Linked DNA regions of Cricetulus griseus. The protein of the gene in region 2 interacts with the protein of the main gene of each other region in a biochemical or structural test. Links are inferred from orthologs where the notes say so. Each region holds a gene or a part of one and is shown on either strand. Other genes may lie near its edges. The genes, in order: Cse1l, Kpna2 and Kpnb1.

What was found.
Region 1: the proteins of Kpna2 (region 2) and Cse1l form a complex in vitro, tested with the Homo sapiens proteins (2 studies listed by BioGRID). The link is inferred for Cricetulus griseus from reciprocal best matches to the Homo sapiens genes KPNA2 and CSE1L.
Region 3: the proteins of Kpna2 (region 2) and Kpnb1 form a complex in vitro, tested with the Homo sapiens proteins (6 studies listed by BioGRID and IntAct, with this or other methods). The link is inferred for Cricetulus griseus from reciprocal best matches to the Homo sapiens genes KPNA2 and KPNB1.

The regions. Positions count from the first base shown.
Region 1 is NC_048599.1:12,529,916-12,536,863, reverse strand, and holds the start of Cse1l (exportin-2), read left to right. Parts: upstream 1-2,412; 5' UTR 2,413-2,548; intron 2,549-6,948. UniProt on the Homo sapiens protein: Export receptor for importin-alpha. Mediates importin-alpha re-export from the nucleus to the cytoplasm after import substrates (cargos) have been released into the nucleoplasm.
Region 2 is NC_048600.1:119,947,392-119,954,485, forward strand, and holds the start of Kpna2 (importin subunit alpha-1), read right to left. Parts: upstream 3,742-7,094; 5' UTR 3,602-3,741; intron 2,124-3,601; 5' UTR 2,101-2,123; coding exon 2,026-2,100; intron 1,665-2,025; coding exon 1,527-1,664; intron 1-1,526.
Region 3 is NC_048600.1:110,334,059-110,340,989, reverse strand, and holds the start of Kpnb1 (importin subunit beta-1), read left to right. Parts: upstream 1-2,229; 5' UTR 2,230-2,515; coding exon 2,516-2,555; intron 2,556-2,648; coding exon 2,649-2,707; intron 2,708-5,037; coding exon 5,038-5,220; intron 5,221-6,931.

The DNA.
Region 1 (6,948 bases), on a different chromosome or scaffold from region 2:
CTATGTGAATACCCAACACATGAGGGCTGGAGAGGTGACTCAGCGGTTAAAAATGCCCGCTGCTCTTCCAGAGGATCCAGGTTCAGTTCCCAGCTTCCACATGGTAGCTTACAACCATCCTTAATCTCAGTTCCAGGGGAACAAAGCCCTCTTCTGGCCTCCTTGGGAGCTGCATACATGTGGTGCACAGAAAATTAAAAACAAACCTTAAAAAAAAATACCCAACACATCTTGATTGAGCATCTAGGGTGTGCTAAGTACTGGGGTCACAGCTATAAAGAACAGTAAGCCCTAAGCTCTTTCATTAAGAGTCCTTGGGCTGATGGGTGATAATTGCAGAGACTTATAAATGCCAGACAGAAAGCATAATGAACGCTGGTTCTGGGGGTAACGGCACTGCTGCCAAGACTGAGGGCCTGAGTTCAATCCTTGGAACCCACAAGCTGGGGAGAAGTGACTCTCTGGGGAGAAGTTGTACTCTGACCTTTACACATGCACCATGGCACCCTTTTACCCCTCCCCCTACATAAATAAATGTTTAAAAATATTTTAACTCAGAATGATATAATGAAATCAAGCCTGCTAGATAAGATACAGAATGCCCAGCTGGCACACACCTTCAATCCCAGCACTCCGGCAGGCAGGCAGGCAGAGCTCTGTGAGTTTGAGGCCAGCCTGGTCTCCAGAGTGAGTGCTAGGACAGCCAGTGCTACACAGAGAAACCCTGACTCAAAAAAACAAAACCAAAAAAGATACAGAATTCCCAGTTCAATGGGAACCTTACATAAACAATGCATGCTTTTGCAGGGCAAGTGTTCTCCTGTAAATCTATTATAAAAATAAGTGTTTGCTCCCTGAAATTTGTGTCAAGTTGGGCAGCCTGTCTTTTACTGGCTAAATGGTGTGCTGTTGAGTTAAAGTTAAGGTGGAGTGGGCAATTTCAGACATCCCTGAGGAGCTGCCATTGTTCTGCGACCAAATGCAAAGGGAGCCAACCATTATTGGATCTAGAAGAGCATCCAGGCAGAGGTAGGAGCAAGTATCAGTGCTGTGAGGTAGGGTAAGCTTGGAGCTGGGAGGAACAGAGCAAGCAAGCTGAGCTGGCTTCCAAGCCCTCACCGTTCTCCCCAATGCTTGCCAGGCCAACAGGCACACAGCTGCCTCCTGGCTTTTGAAAAGGTAAATTTTCTCTTATTCAGGGGCCTCCCCTGTTCATCCCAGTTATCTTCAAGTTGCCACTGGCTACATCAACTGAAAAAAAAATTTTTTTTTGAGAAAGGATTTCACTCCCTATCTCTGACTGGCCTCAAATTCACTATGTAGACCATGTAGGGCTCAAATACATGGTGATTCTCCTGCCTCCGCCTCCTACACGCCAAGTGATGGGGTAATAAGCGTGTGCTATGTGCTGTGGAATCAATACATGGTGATTCTCCTGCCTCCGCCTCCTACACGCCAAGTGATGGGGGTAATAAGCGTGTGCTATGTGCTGTGGAATCTAGCTTCAGAAATCCTTCTAGGCTTCTAAAGTCTGTGTGTGTGTGTGTGCCTCAGTGTGTGTGTGTGTCTTCCTCAGTGTGTGTGTGTGATTCTCAGTGTGTGTGTGATTCTCAGTGTGTGTGTGTGTGTGATTCTCAGTGTGTGTGATTCTCAGTGTGTGTGTGTGATTCTCAGTGTGTGTGTGATTCAGTGTGTGTGTGTGATTCTCAGTGTGTGTGTGTGTGTGTGTGATTCTCAGTGTGTGTGTGATTCTTAGTGTGTGTGTGTGATTCTCAGTGTGTGTGTGTGTGTGTGTGTGTGTGTGTGTGTGTGTGTGTGTGTGTGTGATTCTCAGTGTGTGTGTGTGTGATTCTCAGTGTGTGTGTGTGTGTGTGTGTGTGTGTGTGCGCGCGCGCGCGTATGCGTCTTCTTCAGTTCCTCCCCACCTAAGTTTTTGAGGCAGGATCTCCCATGGAAACAGGAGTTCACCGATTAGCTACACTGGCCAACCAGCCCCAGGGATCTTCCTGTACCTGCTTTCCCAGATACGGGATTACAGTCAGCAGCCCAGGCGGACTTTTATTTGACTGCAGGGGATTCGAACTCATATCTTGTTAGTTTCATGGCCACCTTTAGCCAACCGAGCTATCCATCCCTCAGCTTGGGAGTCTTACTCATTCGGTTATTCTGCCTGTCCTAGAATGGACGGCCTCTCCCTTCTCTGACGGGAACGAGCACAGTCCATAGCACAGCCACTTGCAGAACAAGCCATGGTCTGAGCAAAGAAATCCAAACCAGCAGCCTGCGTCAAAGGACGTGGTCTCTCGCGACGCCACCGCAGAACCGAGCGGGGTTCCGATTGGCCCTTGCAGCCGGGGTGGGGCCAAAAGCAGCCCTGGCTCCGCCCCTTGTCGCGGCCTCTCTCGCACATGCGCCGTGGCCGCCACCCTCGCCGCCGCGCCATTTTGCCGGGGTTTGAATGTGAGGCGGAGCAGCGGCGGGAGTGGTAGCGTCGGCTGCAGCTCTCTCTCGCCTGGGATTCCCTCCTCGGTCTCGGTGTCCCCGCGAGGTGAGGCATGGGGTGAGCAGGGCGGCCGCGGGGAGGGGACGAGCGCTGGGAAGTGGGTGCGGGCCTGTGCGTGCGGCCGCGCTCCGGCGCCTCCCCGCACGCCGCCGCAGGGCCGGGCCTGACCGCTCCGGGAAGCCAGGGCAGCTTGAGGCTCGGCCTCACGCTGGCTCCCGCAGCTCCCGCCCCTTCCCCTCCGGCGCCGCGCTGATTGGTCGCGCCGCCGCCCTTCGCTCCGTAGGTGTCCGCTGATTGGCCGCGCCGGCGCGTCCGTTCTCGGCGCGCCGGCGGGGCCCGCAGCGTGAGCGGTGTTGGGCGCCGAGGCCTGAGTTGGCCGAGCCGGTCCGCACCCTGCTTCCGAAGGAGGCCGGAGCGTGCACCGCTTTGGCTTCGCGGGTCCTCGGGCTCCTCCGCAGGGGACCTGGGCCTCGGGGTCTCACCTGGCTGAGTCGTTCGCGCTCCTGGGAACTGAGGAACGTACAGTCGAACGGGGTTACCCTTCCTGGGGCGCGCTGGCTTTCTAGTTGGATAATCTGGCCTCTTGCATACACAGTCTCTCCCTAGGAGTGTAATTCAGAGCCGGTCGTCGTCTCTGTGAAAAAATGTAATGTTCTGATAAGGTGATGCTGGTGGTGGGTCCGTGTTCTCGCCCATGTTGAGCAATCTCTCCCTCGGAAATGGCATTTTTATCCTCACCTCAAACTCAGATTCATTCATCACTTGCACACTTGGTTAAGCGGCTTTGGGGTTCCACTGATTGTTGACTGTACTTCCCAGAGGTCTCACCTGAGCTGCCGTGCGCCTCACTCCATCTCTCCAGAAGCACTGTAGCCATGCTGACCCGCTCCTTTTTAAGAATTCCCCGCCTCTCTGCCTTTGAAGTTCCCCTCTTAGGCATCAGTTCTCACTTCTCAGTTCACATCACCCAGCTTTATTTTCCTCCACAGCATTGACCTTATAGGTAGTTCTTACTGCTTGTTTCTCGTCCTTTTCATCTGCTCTGATGTTAGCTCTTCGATGATAACCTTTCTTGTTGGTTGCACGTTTGCAAGCCACGTGATGGATGCTCCTGTTATTTCATGAAGACATGGAAGGCCTTTTTTTTTTTTTTAAGTTTTGGATGAAGGATCTGACCTCAGATTCATCATTCTACAAGTGTAGGCTACCACACCCAACTCCCTTTCACCCTGTTCCCATTTGCACATAGCAATTTTAACCCCCTCTGGTTTCTTTGATTTCTTTGATTTGGGAAGCCATTCTCTACCAGGGATTGGGTGAGTGAGAGCAGTACTCTAATTGTGGAATTGATTTATTGCTTTATTTGTTGTTTCTCTTTGGGGACCTTATATTCTAGTTTCGGGGAGAACATGAATTAGATTATTTCAGGTAGTGACAAGTGACAGAAAGCTGACAGGTGAAGACATTTTCTCTGAATAGGTGGCATTAGAGCAGAGACTATCCAGGGGAAAGTGAGGGAACAGCATTTCAGGCAGAGGGAGTAGGATGCACAATTTCAAGTCTAGAAACTGACTTGGAATATTGGGATATTTTAGGAAATCCAGTTCAGTTGTGTGAAGAATAGAGAGATGGGACTTTGTAGGTAGTGCACGGAGTTTGGATATGATACAGAGTGGTAGATTACTGTGATTGATTAGAAGCAGAGAAAGGCAGTAGGCACTCAAGTTACTGCCCAGCCTTCTGTTCTCTTGAAGTGTAGTTAATAACTGTTCTTTTAAAAAAGCTAAGGATAGGGTAGGCAAGATGGATTGAGGGCAGGTAATCCTTACCTAGCCTAACAACCTGGATTTGTTCCCTGGTATCCACATGGTAGAAGGAGAGAACTGACTCCTGCACATTGTCTTCTGACTTCCACACACATGCTGTAGCACACGTGCACACAGTAAATGCATATGGTAAAAATTATGGTGACAGGAGAGGTGGCTCAGGAATCAGAAGCATGTATTGCCCTTGCAGAGGACCCAAGGTAAGTTTCTAGTACCCATGGGTGGCTCACTGTTGCCTATATTTCTAGCTCCAGGGGATCTGATGGCCTCTGCCTTCCTTGGGCATCTGCTGTCAAGTGTACATACATAAAGGCAGAAACATACAGAGATACACACATACACATACATTTGTTAAAAATTTTAAGGTGAGGATAGGTGTTAAGTTATGCTCTTACTATGTATTATAGGTTTTCATTTACTAGATTTCTTCCCCTCTCCTCAGATGTAAGGAAGGCCTCAGAAATGGGTATCTCAGTGCAGTAGACATATCTAAGAAAAAGGCAAATATCTTGGGTCATTTTTATCTTGGGTGTTTGTGAGATGACGATAGGAAACAGTGTTTATTCCCAAAACCTTCATTTGTAACTGTAGGAAGAGGCTAGACTTTCAGTTACTCATTCAAGATTTTTTTCAAAAGATGTAATCATTTTTTTGTGTGTGTTTAAGTGTTTGCCTTTGTGTACTATGTGTGTGGCTGATACTGAGGAAACCAGAAGAGGGTGTCATTCCCTGGAATTGGAGTTTCAAATGGTTGTGAGTTGCAGTGTGGGCATTGGGAATTAGTCAAGGTCCTCTTATAGCCGTTTGTTCTTTGACTAAGCAAGAGTCATCTAGGAAGCAGGAACCTTAGTTGATGGATTGTCTCCATCAGGTTACCTGTAGGCAAGACTCTGGGATTATTATTATTATTAATTTTTTGATTACTGATTATTATAGGAAGGCCTAGCCCACTATTGGTGGTACCACTCCTGAGCATGTGGTTCTGGGTGGTATAAGAAAGCAAGCTGAAATCCCAGCACTGGGAGAGGCAGAGACAGGCAGATCTCTTGGAGTTTGAGACTAGCCTGGTCTACAGAGCAAATTCCAGGACAGGCTCCAGAGATTCATCTTCCTCTGCTTCCTAAATTCTGGGATTAAAGGCATGTGCCACCACTGCTCAGTTTGAGCATGGTATTTATAGCTATAGAAAGCATACAGCAAGCAGCAAGTTCTCTTAATTGCTGAACCATCTCCCCAACCCCAAGTTTTTTGGGGGGCTGGTGAATGCGTCAGTAGAGCAAACACAAGTACTAGAACTCAAATCTCAGCACTCATTTATAGTCATGTGGAACATGAATGCCTGTAAGCCCAGCATTGTGGGTGGGAGACAAGCTATCCCAAAATTGTATCAAACTTGTGGGTCATAACCTGTGCCCCAAGTTAGGTCTGGCCACCCATTCTGAAGCTCAGTATTGACTCCCCTTGGGGTAAGTCCTTTTATAGCTAAGGGAAAAGGACTGCAGTAAGAATACAGATAGCATAGCTTTTCTTTTTTTTTTTTGAGGGTCTTGGTTTCTGGCTGTTGGCACATTAGAGAGTAGTCCTTGTCTTTACTTTTTCTCAGTGTGTATCAAGATGAAAGCTTAGCAGACTATGGTAGTACTGTGATTGTGATTATGCCTGTAATCCCAGTTCTTGACAGAGTTGTTCAAGGCCAGTTTGTGAGACCTTGTCTCTCTCTCTCATTCTTTAAAAGGGTGGTATTGGTGTCTGGTCGTCCTCCTTGACTGCAGCTCCTTTCTCCAGCTTCCAGGTTGCTCTCTTTAACACTGGGCTTTCTGTTATGTTCTTAGTTCAACCTTGTCATTTCCACTTAGAGGCTGCCTTGGGGAGCAGAAAAAGTATCATGAATCAGGCAGGTAGATTTGAGTTGATAGCAACATGGGCATGTAAATTAGCCACCGAGTTCCCTCCCTTATTGTAGTTTGAGATTAATGGTGCACAGTGGTGGCACATGCCTTTAATGCCAGTGCTTGGGGATAGGCAGAGGCAGGTGGATCCCCGAGTTCAAGACCAGCCTGGTCTACAGAGCAAGTTAAGGACAGCCAAGGGTACACAGAAAAACTGTCTCAAAAAACAAACAAACAAATGGTAAAGCAGATAAATTCACCTAGCACTGTATGGTTAGCTCATACAAATTACCCCTTCCTGTTTTCAAAACAGTCTGAACATTCTTTACTTCTGTTCTGCAAACTATTACCAGCTCAAAGTTCCAAATTCTTTGCTTTAATTGAATTTCACCCACTTTAAAAATCTCCAGTGAGCTGGGCATGGTAACACACATCTTTAGTCCCAGCAGGCACAGGCAGGTGAATCTGTGAGTTCAAGGCCAGCCTGATCTACATAGTAAGTGCCAGGACAGCCAGAGCTACACAGTGAGACCCTGTCTTAAAAACCAATCAAAAGGGGCTGGAGAGATGGCATAGAGGTTAAGAGCACTGGCTGCTCCTCCCGAGGTTTGGTTCTGAGTTCAATTCCCAGCAACCACATGGTAGGTAGCTCACAACCATCTGTAATGGGGTCTGATTCCCTCTTCTGGTGTGCATGAAGACTGGTCACTCAAATACATAAAATAAATAT
Region 2 (7,094 bases):
CAGTGTTTTATCACAGCAACAGAGAAACCTAACTAAAACACTAACACTCATTACAATTTGAAATAACTTTAGAAGATTAGGCCATTTTATTTCTTCATCGTGGAAGGGGAAGGACTCAAAGTCCCACCCCTTCTTGGGGGACTACTGACAGTTAATGACAGCTGGGGAAAGGGGTGAACTTCCTTCAGGGGTATAGCCACTGACAAAGTTCCTCCAGTATATAAAACAGACAGGAAAAACAAGGAAGACTTGTTGAGAAAAGGGGTTTCATAAGATGGGATGAGACCAGGAAACAGCGTGAAAAGGACTACTATTCATTTTATACATGTATAAACATTCACAAAATAACAAATAAGTTTGCAGCCATGCATAGAGGCCCATGCTTTTTAACCCCAGCAATCAGGAGGTAAAGGCAGGCAGATCTCTGTGAATTTGAGGCCAGTCTGGCCTACATGAGTTCTAGGACAGCCAGAGCTACATAATGAGATCCTGTCTCAGAAAACAAGTTTGGAAGAAAAGGATGTCTCAGACCCAACAATATATTAATTAAAAAACAATTACCTTTTTACTTTGAGATTAAAATTAAAATAAGCAGAAACATCTAAGACATAGAATAGTAAAAGAGATCAAATGTTAAAAAGAAAGGAAAAAATACTGGCTGGGCAGTGGTGGCACGCTCCTTTAGTCCCAGCACTTGGGAAGCAGAGGCAGGCAGATCTCTGTGAGTTCGAGGCCAACCTGCTCTACAGAGTGAGTGCCAGGAGAGGATCCAAAGCCACACAAAGACCCTATCCTGAAAAACCAAAAAGCTAGTAAGTGCCCAACATTGCCTTACTCCTGGCAGGTCATCACTAGGGTAGTGCACGCCTTTAACCCTAGCACTCTGGAGGCAGAGGCAGCCTGGTCTACAGAGTGAGTTCTAGGACAGCCACAGCCAAGGCTACACAGAAACCCTGTGGGGAACATGGGGGCGGATCTTTTTCCCCAGGGGCTATGCATTGATCCTGCAGGGGACCAAATGCAATCCACAGCACCCACATTATTAGGTGGCTTATACCTGCCTGTAACTCCAGTTTAGGGGACATAACCTCTCTGGCCTCCTGCACATACTCAGACACAAACACAAATACACTTCTTAAAAAACTAAAAATCTTAAAAAAAACAAAGAATTGTCATACATTCAACAGTCAAAAGTAGATTACCAGGCATGTCCAAGAATTTTTACATTTAGCCAGCAGTGGTGGCTCATGCCTTTTATCCCAGTACTCCTAAGGCAAAAAGGCTGGTGGATCTGAGTCCAAGGCCAGCCTGGTTGACAAAGCCAAGGCCACACAAAGAAATTTTGTCTAGAAACCAATCCCCCTCAAAAAAAAAATTCTAATTTCTAAGAGACATTTATTCTTTTTTGGGGGGAGCACAAGCCTCTAATCCCAGCAATCAGGAAGCAAAGGCAGGCAGATCTCTGCAGAGTTCCAGGACAGCCACAGCAGTTATACAGGGAGGGAGAGCACTGTCTAGGTATGTACCTGATTGTTTCGGTTTTCCTGCAAAGGAGAAGTAGCATCGTCGGGAAATGAGCTGACATTTCTCCTTTTCAGCATCTGGTCATCTTTCTTCGCTTTCCTCAGTTCCACATTAACTTCTATTCGGCGGCGCCGCATTTCCTGAGGAAAAGACAACACAACACCTCATTTTATCTATAAGCTTTTCCTGACAAGTCATTTCTTTAAACCCCTCAAAGGTCAGCAAGAGATGGCTCATTGTCTAAAAGGCACCTGCCACCAAGTCTCAGGACTTCAATCCTGCAGAGTCAGGCGGAGGAGGGAACCATTGCCTGCAAGCTGTCATTCTCACCTCTGCATTTGCACCAGGTATGCACAGACACACAATAAATAAGACTAGAGATAAAACTCAGGAATAAAGAACCCATCTAACATCAGTAAGGCACTGGATTCAATCCCTAAAATGTGTTATATAAACACCCCTTCTTATTTCCATTTAAAAGTGTCGACAGAAGGTACTCACTGTACTGTCTTTCCCCTTGTTCTTGAATCTGTTAAGCCGGGCAGCTGGTGAATTAGCATTCTCGTTGGTGGACATGGTTACAGGAATCCGGGAGAAAGCTAGTAGACAAGGGAGGGTGAGAAAAAAAAGAGCACTTTTTAAATAAGAATACAGCAGAAGCCAGGCGGGGCATACTAACATTCGCCTTTAATCATAGCACCAGGGAGGCAGAGGAAGGCGGGTCTCTTGAGTTTAAGGCCAACTAGAATATAAAAATCAAAGCCGAGCGTGGGTGGCGCACGCCTTTAATCCCAGCACTCGCCTTTAATCCCAGCACTCGGCAGAGACAGGCCGATCTCTGTGAGTTCCAGGCCAGCCTGGTCTCCAGAGCAAGTGCCAAGATAGGCTGCAAAGCTACAGAGAAACCCTGTCTCGAAAAACCAAATAAATAAATAAAATAAAAATCAACTATATATTGACTCCATCTGTATGCTAGACAAGAAAAACCCACAAGCTTTCAGTTTTATGGCTACAGCATTAAGTCCAGTGGTTAAGTGCTCCTCCTGCAAAGGGATTAAACTTCTGGCAACGCAGCTGTCAATCAGAAACAGGTTTTTAATCAAACATTTAAATTTTCCACTAACCACATTTTTAAAAGGCTAAAAAGCAACAAATGAAATTAACATAGAAAAATAAACATGTTTCACCGTTTTAATACACCTTCAGAATCCTATGTGTAGTTTATGCACGCAGAGCATCTCAACTCAGATTATCGGCTTTTCACAAACTCAATGACCTAAAGCCTCTGGCCAGCGCGGTATTAAGCCGGGGCTCCACATTCTGGACACCGACTAGGGGCACCCCGCCTGGTTTTTAGTTAACAATCTACCTCCTTAAGGCAATAAAGGCACTTCTGGTCTTTTTCTGTTGATTCATGGCCCGAATGCATACACATACATCAGGCACCTTCCATCAGGTTACACAGCGACTTGGCTGGTTGCGTTACAGAGCCTTCCACAACCCTCGCTGTCAGCAGTGACATTGGCACCGCGTCTTCAGCGTCCCGCACGCCCTGGACAGGACAGGCTTTCCGGTCTGTGCATTCAATTCGAGTGACACCAGCCGTGGACACTGTCTGGGGCTCGACTTTCTATCGCAGGCGTGATCGCCACAATGTGACAATCTGCTACCGAGGCGAAAACCTCGGGAACTTCCTCCCCGAGGCTGGCGCCGGCGGCCCGGCTCAAGCGTCTCACGGGGGAGTCCTAACTGCCACCACTCCGCCTCCGCCTCCGCTCCAGCCCACAGCCCCGACCCTCCCCGGGCAGAAGCGGCGGGAAAGCGGCGGAGAGGCAGCCGGGTGCGCTCGTCTGCGGCCGGTGTCCCCGACGCCGCCCCTCGCGGGGCCTGCGCCGCCCTCCGCAGCGACCGGTGCGGCCAGGCCTGGCACCGGCACCGGCACGGCGGAACCACCCCGCCCCGCGGCCTCGTCTGGGCACGGAGGCCCAGCACACGCCCGGCGCGGCCTGCTCCCGCCTTCCCGCCCGCTCCGCGTTCCGGCCGGCCGTTACCGTCCAGGCCCGGCCGCGGCTCCCACCTGCTCAGCCGGCTCAGGCGTCCACGAAAGGCGGTGCGGGGCTCTCAGCCTGCGGGGTCGGCGGCCCTCGAAACGTCCACTGCGCCTCAGCCCTCAGACTTTGTGCCTCGTGCTGCCGGCCGGCGCGATTTAAATTTCCCGGTGACGCCGCATCCCGATTGGCTGGTTTGAGCCTAAGCTGTGCGTTCATTGGCGGATTTGAAAAACACGTTGGGGGGGGCACGGACGCCGGGCCTGGGGGAGGGAGGAGGTGGGGGTGGGGTGGAGGGGAGGGTAGCATCGCGAGATGAGGGAGCGGCCGGACAATCCCAGAGTGCCTTGCAAGAGTGGTGATCCCGGAGCTCGGCGCGCGACGCTGAAGGGTGTGTGTCGTCTCTGCCTAGGCGGGACGCTGGGCAGAGCCCTGTTTGCTCTCTCTGGGGCCTGCCCTTAAGCAAATACACGGAATTATTATTAGACGCGTTATCTTAAAAAATAAAAGTTTAGCCTGGCGTAATTGGCGTAGGCAGAGGCAGGAGGATTGCTGTGAGTTCAAGGCGAGCTTGTCTACATAGTGAGGCCAGCCAGGGTTACATGGTGAGACCCCGTCTGAAAAAGGACCCACCAAAATAATAACAAATGCTTAACATAAATACATTGATTTTCATTTTTTTTCCTCATCGAAACACCAGAGGTTTAGCAGGGGCTGGTCACTGGGAGAAAGGAGTGAAGCAGATCTGTGTGGCTCTTTTAATAATCATTGTGTGTAGTGTATTAATTATTATGTTGTTTTTTTAAGATTTATTATTATGTATACAGCTTTATGTCTGCATATGATCCTGCACACAAGAAGAGGGCACCAGATCTCATAATGGATGGTTGTGAGCCACCATATGGTTGCTGGGAATTGAACTCAGGACCTCTGGAAGAGTAGTTGGTGCTCTTAACCTCTGAGCAATCTCTCTAGCCCCCTATTATTATGTTGTTGTTTTTACTGTTTATTGATTATTTATTTATTTGTTTATTTATTTTGGTTTTTCGAGACACGGTTTCTCTGTGGCTTTGGAGTCTGTCCTGTAACTTGCTCTTGTAGACCAGGCTGGCTTTGAACTCACAGAGATCTGCCTGTAGAGCAGTCTGACCTCAAACTCACAGAGATCCACCTGTCTCTTCCTCCCGAGTGCTGGGATTAAAGGCGTGTGCCACCAATGCCCAGCGATTATTTAATTTTTATTACGGGGACTAGGAGTGAGACAGGGTCTCAACAATAGAGCCGGGGCTAGCCTTGAACCTGTTGCAATCTTACCTCAGCACCAATTCTGGGATTACAGAGATGTTCCACTTTATCTAGTTGTATGTCAAATGTTCAGATTACTTGGGAAATAAAAAGACAAAGCAGCAAATATGGTAACAAATGGCTTATTAAGTGCCTATTTTCACCTTACACTTTCTTTAAAACTTCATTAATTCTGTTTGGTTTGTTGTTTTGGAATTTTATTTATTTATTTTATATTATTTTGGGGGGGGGTTGAGACAGGGTTTCTCTATTTATTTATTTTAGACGAGGTTTCTCTGTGTAACCCTGGCTGCCCTGGAACTCACTTTGTAGACCACACTGGCCTCCAACTCACAAAGATTCCCCCAAAGGTGTGTGAAACCACCACCAGGCAAAACTTCAATAATACAAGTGTACACCGCCTTTAATCCCAGCACTCAGAAGGCAGAGGCAGGTGGATCTCTGTGAGTTCGAGACCAGCTTGATCTACATAGTGAGTTCCAGGATAGCCAGGACTACAAAGAGAAATACTTTTCAGGGATTCGGATGGGGGCAGAAAAGAGATGGCTCAGAGATAAGAGCATTGCCTGCTCTTTCAGAGGACCCAGGATCAATTTCCAGCACCCAGATGGCAGCTCACAACTGTCTATAATTCCAGTTCTCCAATTCCAGGGGATCCAACACCCTCACACAGACATACATGCAAGCAAAACACCAATAAATAAAAGTAAATAAAAACAATTTTTTTTTCTTAAAAGAGAGATTGTTTTATATAACCACACTGGAAACCCTCAATTTCAGGAAAAATTCAATTTCCATGCTATCATCAATCTGTATTCATTTTTTGTGGTCTAATTATTTTCAAACATGAAAGATATTTAAAAGCATCAGGATTGTGAGCCATTTTTTGTGTTCTTCTTGAAATTTTTCTGGGTGCTTTAAAGGAGTATTTTAGGAAAATTGTAGTGGCTTATTTTGTACAAATAAATGCAAGCAGTACACTCTGTCTATTCTCGAAGGCATCCATGCCAGTTTCTCTCTAGCATAGCCGAGAAGTTCACAGGCAGTTTGTTGCTCCCAATCTGACCTGCTAAATGCAAGAATGTGGAAGGAATCCATTCTCAACCAATCACCGCCAGGCATTTTCTTGGCTGCTGTGAATGGTTCAGGGGCAGGCACACGACCTAAATGCACCCTTTTGGGGCGCCTATGTCCTTTGTTTAGTAGTTGGAGGTAGGAACAACTTCTGAGTCTTAAACTCTGAATAAGGAACTTGGAGAGAAATGTTGAGAGTTCTGATCCACATCCTGCACTACTTCTCAAAGCTGATGGTGCCCCTCAGAAGTTTGCAGTTAGTGATCCAATGCCTGTTACCTGCATTGTGAAACTGAGCTTTCTTTCCCAAGAAAACAGTGAGTACTGTGTTCCCAAGTGTTTCCGTGCTATTCGTGTAGTAATCGTTACAGATAGGATATCATAAATAGTCGAGTGATTTGTCCCAGGTTTACAGAGACAACAAATGACAGGCAGGAGTCAAGCTTGCTGTACTAGTGCCTGAAAAGAAACTGAAACACAACTATAACGTCAAGAGTTTCCTTGAAGGCCAAGTGTGGTGGGACAATTAATCCCAGCAGTATAGAAGCAGAGACAAGTGGATGTTCGTGAGATCAAGGCCAGCCAGATCCACATAGTGAGATCACATCCTGTCCAAGCTATACAGTGAGACCCTGAAGAGGAGCAGAGAGGTGACCCAGTGTTAAGAATACTGTGGCTCATAAGGAGGCCTCTGCACTCCAGGGGGCCCTGGTAGGGGATTAGTATTTTCCCTGGTGTAAGAAGGGAATTTGAGAGCCCATCCCACATGAAGGGATGCTCTCTCGGCCTGGACACGTGGGGGAGGGCCTAGGCCCGGCCCAGGATGATGTGGTAGACTGTGGGGAGCCACTGTCAAGAGCCCTACCCTGCCTAGGAAGTGGAGGGTGGATGGGGTGGGGGACAAGTGGGATGTTAGGGGGAGGGTTGGAGGGGAGGGGAGGGAGAGGGAGAAGGGACATGTGAAGCAAGCTTGTTCCTAATTTGAACTAATAAAAAAAAATAAGAAAAAAAGTCCAAATCAAACTTTTAGAAATGACAAGACAGAATATAGTGGGGGAAAACAGTATCAGAGGGGAGAAAAAAAAAAAAAAAAGAACACCCGGCTCATGCCGGGTGTTGGTGGCGCACACCTTTAATCTCAGC
Region 3 (6,931 bases), about 9.6 Mb from region 2:
GGCCTTTAATGCCAGTAGTCGGGGGCAGAGGCAGGTGGATATCAGTGACCAGGCCAGCCTGGTCTAAAATGCAAGTTTCAGGACAGCCAGGCCTATTACACAGAGAAACTCTGTCTTGAAAAAAAAAAAAAAGCATGAGGAATGATGGACCTACACTTCTTGCAAAACTAAGTTTCTTGAGTTTCTATATTGTATAATGACTCACTTTTGCCTTAAGAATCAGTTATGGAGGCACAGGATCAGCGTGTGTGTGTTTCCATGTGTAGGTGTGTCCATACGCTTGCACAGTGAAGAGCATCCCAGCATTCAGGGATCTGAGGAAGGCAGATTATGGAAAACCTGAAGCCAGCTTGTGAATCTTAGACCAGATACAGAAAGGAACCCCATCTCAAGGAAAGACAAAAGCCCACACAACAACAACAAAAGACTCCAAAAAACCAAACCAAATAAATCCACTACCAACAAATAATTTTTTTTGATAATGTTTTCAATGAAAACATTACAATAAACTAATTTCCTGGCTTGGTGATATATGCCTTTAATCCTAGCAGTTTCTTTTATCACTTATTTATTTGGTTTTTCAAGACAAGAATTTGTCTATCTGTAGTCCTAGCTGTCCTGGAAATCACTCTGTAAACCAGGCTAGCCTCAAAATCAGACATGCTTGCGCAACTCTGCCACCCAAATTCTGGGATTAAAGGCGTGGGCCACCATCGCCTGGCTAATTCTAGCATTTAGAAGGCAAAAGCAGGTAGGTCTGAGCTCAAGACCAGCCTGGTCCAACCTAGTGATTTCCAGGCCAAGACATCTTTAGGAAACAAGAAACTAAAACCCACACTTGCATGCTGACCACAAATAAATAAATAAAACCTTAAAATCAAAGTTAAGGTGAATGTAATCAGAACATATTATTAAACATATATAAAGCTGTCAAAAAACAAATTGAAAAATACAACAAAGAAATTACAGGTTGGCTGGCCAAGTCGGTCTATCCTTCCAGAAAATATTCGTGGGTTTCCCAATGTGGCTAGCGCACAGCAATTTCTTCCTGGGCCTATCTGCGGCTCCTGAACCCCTGGCTTGCGGCTCAGGCTCCCCAAGTGGGGAGGGGAAGGGAGGGGGAGTGTAAAACAACTAGGTGCACCAGAGTTTTGTTTGAAACAGGATCTCAGGCGGTAGCCCAGGCTGCCTTGGCCTTCGGGATACTGAGACTGTAGGTGCTGCCACGCCTAGTCAGTGCACATGCTCTATGTCACATCCTTTCGGTGTAAGCTCCATCACCGGTTGTTTGAGGTAGCTGTTAAGTCTAAGGACGCACCTCCGCGAAACTTTGTAACCGCAGAGGTCCAGACAGGGACTCCAAGGGCAATTAAGCACGCCTGAACCCAGCCCCGATGGAGTCTTTAATCGGCTGTGTGACCTTGGACACGCTCCACGCTCTCTCTGGGCTTCAGTTTCCGAATCCGCACGTTGGAAGGTGAACCACGTGGCCCTCACGGTGCTGCTCAGCGCAGAGCCCGGCAGAGAGCAGACCTCGCCATTTACGGCGGCTTCCTGTGGGCGCGGCACAGGGCTTTAACGGTCCCCCTCCCCGCACCCTCGCAACCCTCACTTTTATGGCCCCGCCGCCGGGGACCGCACTACGAGGAGACCACTTGGAGCGGCTCGCGCGCGCCTCCGCCCCGCCCCGGAGGCGTCCCGTCGTGCCCCGCGCTAGACTCTCAGCAGCACGGGGCGACTCCCGCCTTTACGCCCGGCGACCCCGAACTCCTCGCCCCAGGTCTCCCGGCGCCCCGTCCTATCAACGTCCAGTATCCCAGCCAATCGGGCGCGCTGCGAGTCTTACCTTCCGCCCGCCTCCTCCCCGCGCACAGCCGGTGTGAGCCCGAAGGCCTCTACCGGGACCGCCCAATCAGAAGCCCGCACTTACCTGCCCCACCCCGACGTCCCTCCCCTCGCCCAATGAGCGCGCCCCATTCGGCTGCCCGCCCAGCCAACCGGGCCTTGAAGCCCGCGAGCGAATAGGCGCGCGGCGGCCCTTCAACGCTAACCTTCTAGCCAATCGGGGAGTCCGCGTAGCCGCGGCAGCAGCCAATCGTTGTGCAGCGCGGTGCCGCCGCGGAGAGGTCCGGCAAGAATATCCCTCCGCCTCCCTCCCTCAATCTCTCTCCCTCCCAGAGATCCGCCTCTCACTTACTGCCGCCCTTCCTTCTTTCTCCCTCCGCCGCCTGAGCACCAGCCGCGCTCTGAGCTGCCCCCGGGGTCCCTCCCCCGCCGCCAGAGGAGCAGCTGCCGCCGCCTAACACATTAGGAGGGCGGAAGGAAGGAGAGTGGGGAGGAAGGGGAGACAGAGCGCCTGCCCAGAGGCAGCCGGTGAATGGGCTTGTGGTGACCCCCGCCCCCCACCCCACCCTCCCTTCCCACCCGACCCCCAACCCCCATCCCCAGTTGGAGCCGCCGCCCGAGAGGCCGGGCCGTCGTCTTTGGAAGAGTCCCCGCCGCCGTCACCTCCGCCATGGAGCTGATCACCATCCTCGAGAAGACCGTGTCTCCGGGTAGGACTCGGGGCCGGGGGTCGGGCTGAGGTGACTGGGGTGGGGGAGGGGGTGGCCCCTCTGACCCCGCTGCCTCTCCCCATTCCTCCCCAGATCGGCTGGAGCTGGAAGCGGCGCAGAAGTTCCTGGAGCGTGCGGCTGTAGAGAACCTGGTGCGTGCTGCCCCGCCGCGCCCCATCCCGCCGCGTCCCCATCCCTGCGTGCGGGCCTTCCGCCCTCCTGGAGGCCCAGGCCTCAGGAACCCACCCCGCCCCATCTCGTCCCCCTTCCCCCCCCTCCGCCCGCCCGCCCGGTCCAACCTAACCCCGCCATCGGGAAGCCGGTGGGTGTGTCCCGCCCCGGGCCCTGCGTCTGGCCAATGGCGAGGCGAGCCGGGGTGATCGCTGTCCAATCGCCTCGCGGCCTGAGGGCGGCGGTGCAGCGGGAGGGAGAAAGAGGGAGGGAAGGGAAGTTAGGTTGCATGGCGCTGCGTGTTCAGCAAGGGTGGGGGTTGGGGAGCCGGGCCTAGGGGCCATGTGGAAGCTCAGCGCCCTGCTGCCTGCCTTCTACTGGCGGGTGCCGGCTTTTCCTTCCAACCCCATGCCTCTTGTGGCTGTCTGCACCTACTTTCCAGAGCCCTACCCTTTCGCAGCTCCCATGGTCTGCTCAGGGCCACGCCTGGCAGCCGACCACCTCTGAACCCATTGCCACTATTTTTTTCCCTTTCGGGCCCTGTTATCCCTCTCCTGAGCTAAGCGTGCGTGTATGTTATGTTTGGGCTTGGATCATTAGGGACCTCATCCTTAGGGATCTGTATCCTGCCCAGAGTCTGAGCCTCATTCCTGAGATTGGGCTTTATTCCCTGAAGAAATCACAGTTACCCCGTTTTTCATATTTTCTCATTTAAGAGGTACATTTAAAAAGAAAAAAAAAGCAACCTGACCTGTGTGTAGGAAAATGAGAGATGATTGAAGTAGTCTCGTGCCAGAATGTTTCTCTTTGGTAGCCCTCTCTCCTCTCAGGGGTTGGTAACAGGGAAGGGTGGATGGTACTGAAAGTCTCTAAAAGGTAGTAAGTTGAAAGAACACTGTAACCAAATGTAGTCCTTTGTGATGGCTTGGTAAAATAGTAACATCCATAGGGACAGAACACATTTGTGCAAACCGCCTTTTCAGTACTTAGGTAAGGGACTTTTTATTAACCTTTCATCTTTTAGTGCACCCCCTTTTAAGCATTTCCTTGTTAGTGTAGAATGAGAATTCCACTCATGGTATATTTTGTTTATTTGCAAAAAAAAATCCTTTACCTTGCTCCTATCACTGTTTAGTGCCATATAGTAAACCTTTGGGAATTACCTCCTGTATTTTTAAGAGTTAGCTAATAGTAAGGAAATATGTCTACTTTTGCCACTTTAACTTTCTGTTTGGGCAGGTTCATACACACGAGCGCGCGAGCACACACACACACACACACACACACACACACACACACACACACACACACACACACACACACACACACACACACACACACACACACACACACACACACTCACACACACACACACACACACACACACACACAGAGGTGATTTTTGGACTTGTATTTTAAAGAGTGGATATTTTCAAAACTTGAGAGGGCTATTGGTACAGAAAATGATTTTTCTTGAGACAACTTATCTTGCCATGTCATTTGGTTTTTCAAGACAGTGTTTTTCTGTAGTTTTGGAGCCTGTCTTGGAATTCACTCTGTAGATCAGGCTGGCTTTGAACTCACAGAGATCCACCGTCTCTGCCCTCCAAGTGCTGGGATTAAAGGTGTTCGCCACTGCTGCCTGGCTTTGTCTTGTCATTTTTATCTTCATTTTTTCCCATTTCTGAATATTAGTTATCACTTACCACTTAAATCCCTGTTGTTGGACACTCAGAACTAGGCTGCAAGGACTAGGTACTTTCATCTGTTGTAGACTTAACATATATTTCTGTTACAAACGTTCACTTGTGTAAGATCAGAAAGCTGCACTGAGTGTTACTATTTTGGACTAGATTTTAATTTTAAATTATACACCAATTTTCTCCCTCATCCTGTATCAGCAAATTTGCAGTAGTATATATAGGTGCATTGGGAACCTTGAACCTAGGATAACCCAGTGTTAGGTTGTCACTTTTCTTTAATTCTGGGGAGCTGTCTGAACATTTGTGCACAAGGGATGATCTTGGTAGGAAGACACCATCTCTTTGTATAGTAAGTAATGTTTTTATAGAACTTACTTTGAAGTTGGATCCTGTTAAATTGCCTCATTTGTTTGGCTTTAAGATTGCTGAACCCAAGGAAACCTCTTGAGTGTTGAGTCTAGGCAGGTACCACTTCAAATAGATATTTCACAGGCTCCTGAGAGATTTGAATGTGATCTAAATTTCTTTTGTGTGTGTCTCAGTATTTGAATGTTCTACAAGGAAGTTGGAATTTCTGAGATGCTCACAAATTCATCTTTTCTCAATAGCCCACGTTCCTTGTGGAACTGTCCAGAGTGCTGGCAAATCCAGGAAACAGTCAGGTTGCCAGAGTTGCAGCTGGTCTACAAATCAAGAACTCTTTGACATCAAAAGATCCAGATATCAAGGCACAGTACCAGCAGAGGTGGCTTGCTATTGATGCTAATGCTCGACGGGAAGTCAAGAACTATGTAAGTGACTGTCATATGGCCTAAGGAACAGTGTTGTAAGGGCTTGGTCATTTGCATGGCATAGAACTTGACAATGAAGGGGCTGGAGAGGCTCAGAGTTTTAAGAGCATTGGCTGCTCTTCCAGAAGTTCTGAGTTCAATTCCCAGCAAGCACATGGTGGTTCACAACCATCTATAATAAGTTCTGGTGCCCTCTTCTGGCATGTAGGCATGCCAGAACAACAGTATACATAATAAATAAGCTCTTAAAAGCAAAAAAAGAACTTGATAGTGTTTCTGAGACCTAAACTTTACCTGAAGGTAGAAATTCTGTTTCATTAAAAATCTCTCAATGTGGCAAAAGGTGTTTGGCGATTGGTTGGGTTCTGCTGACTGAACCAGCAGTTTGGGATCTCTGGTTAGAATTGGGGAAATGCAAGTTTTGGTGCTATATATATCATCACCACCTAAGAAATTTCACCTTTTTTTTTTTTTTTTTTTTTTTTTTTTGGTTTTTCGAGACAGGGTTTCTCTGTAGCTTTGGAGGCTATCCTTGGCACTCACTCTGGAGACCAGGCTGGCCTTGAACTTACAGAGATCCTCCTGCCTCTGCCTCCCGAGTGCTGGGATTAAAGGCATGCGCCAACAACGCCCGACCGAAATTTCACTAATGTTATGTGTGTCTCTGTGTCAGAGTTTAGCTCAGTGATAGAGGCTTCTAGAATCTATAAAGCCTCAGGTTCTCTCATTTGTTCACATAAGAGAATGAAGTATTTTATGTATTTGGGATCTCTAGAGTAAAGCTGGGAATTCTTTCCATTCAGTCTTATGTAGTCCAGGCTAGCATCAAATATCTGACTGTCCTGTTTTTACTTCTGAAAAGCTGGTATTATGTTTTACCACACTGCACTCTGATTTTGTGTGTGTGTGTGTGGGGGGGGTGTTAGGTAGTCCAGCTGGCCATGAATTTACAATATAGTAAAAGAGAACTATGAACTCTTTACTTTCTTTTACCTTACCTTACTTTTACCCTGAATGCTGGGTGCAGGTGTATGTCACCATGTCTGGATTTTCAGAGATATTTTAGAATATTTTCTTTCTTTTTCTAATGTTTGGGTGCCTTTGGAAGCCAGAGGAGGATGTCTGGTCCCCTGGAACTAGTTAATGTGCCATTGTTAGCCATCAGGCAAGGGTGCTGGGAACAGACCTGAAGTGCTATTAACTGCTGAACTGTCTCCCCAGCACAGTCAGCAGCTCCTGTTGAGCTTTAGTGGTGGCTAGTTCCTGACATGAAATTGTAAAGTCAGGGAAAATTCAGTGATTTTTAAGTCTTTCAAATGTAAAGAGTTTGCAAATGGGAGTATGACATTTATTTATTCATCTATCTGTCTATCTGTTTGTCTACCTATCTTGAGTCTTGAGTCTCAGTGGATCACTAGTTAGGCTGTCCCCAAACTCACAAACTGCCTGCCTCTGCTTCCTGAATGCTGGGATCTAAGGTGTGTGCCACCACAGCTGGCCCTATTATCGGTCTTTTATGCACCAAGTTTTGAAATCTCAGCATTGTGATTGAGATGATGAATTATAAGGAAAATGACAGTGTTCTTTACTGTTTTGCATCATGACATTTTTGTGAGTTGTGTTGTTGTTGAATTAGCCATCTTGCTAAAGCCTAGGATTGAAACATACAGGTTTGTCTGTTTTGCTTTTAATTAATAAAGTTATTTAGTGG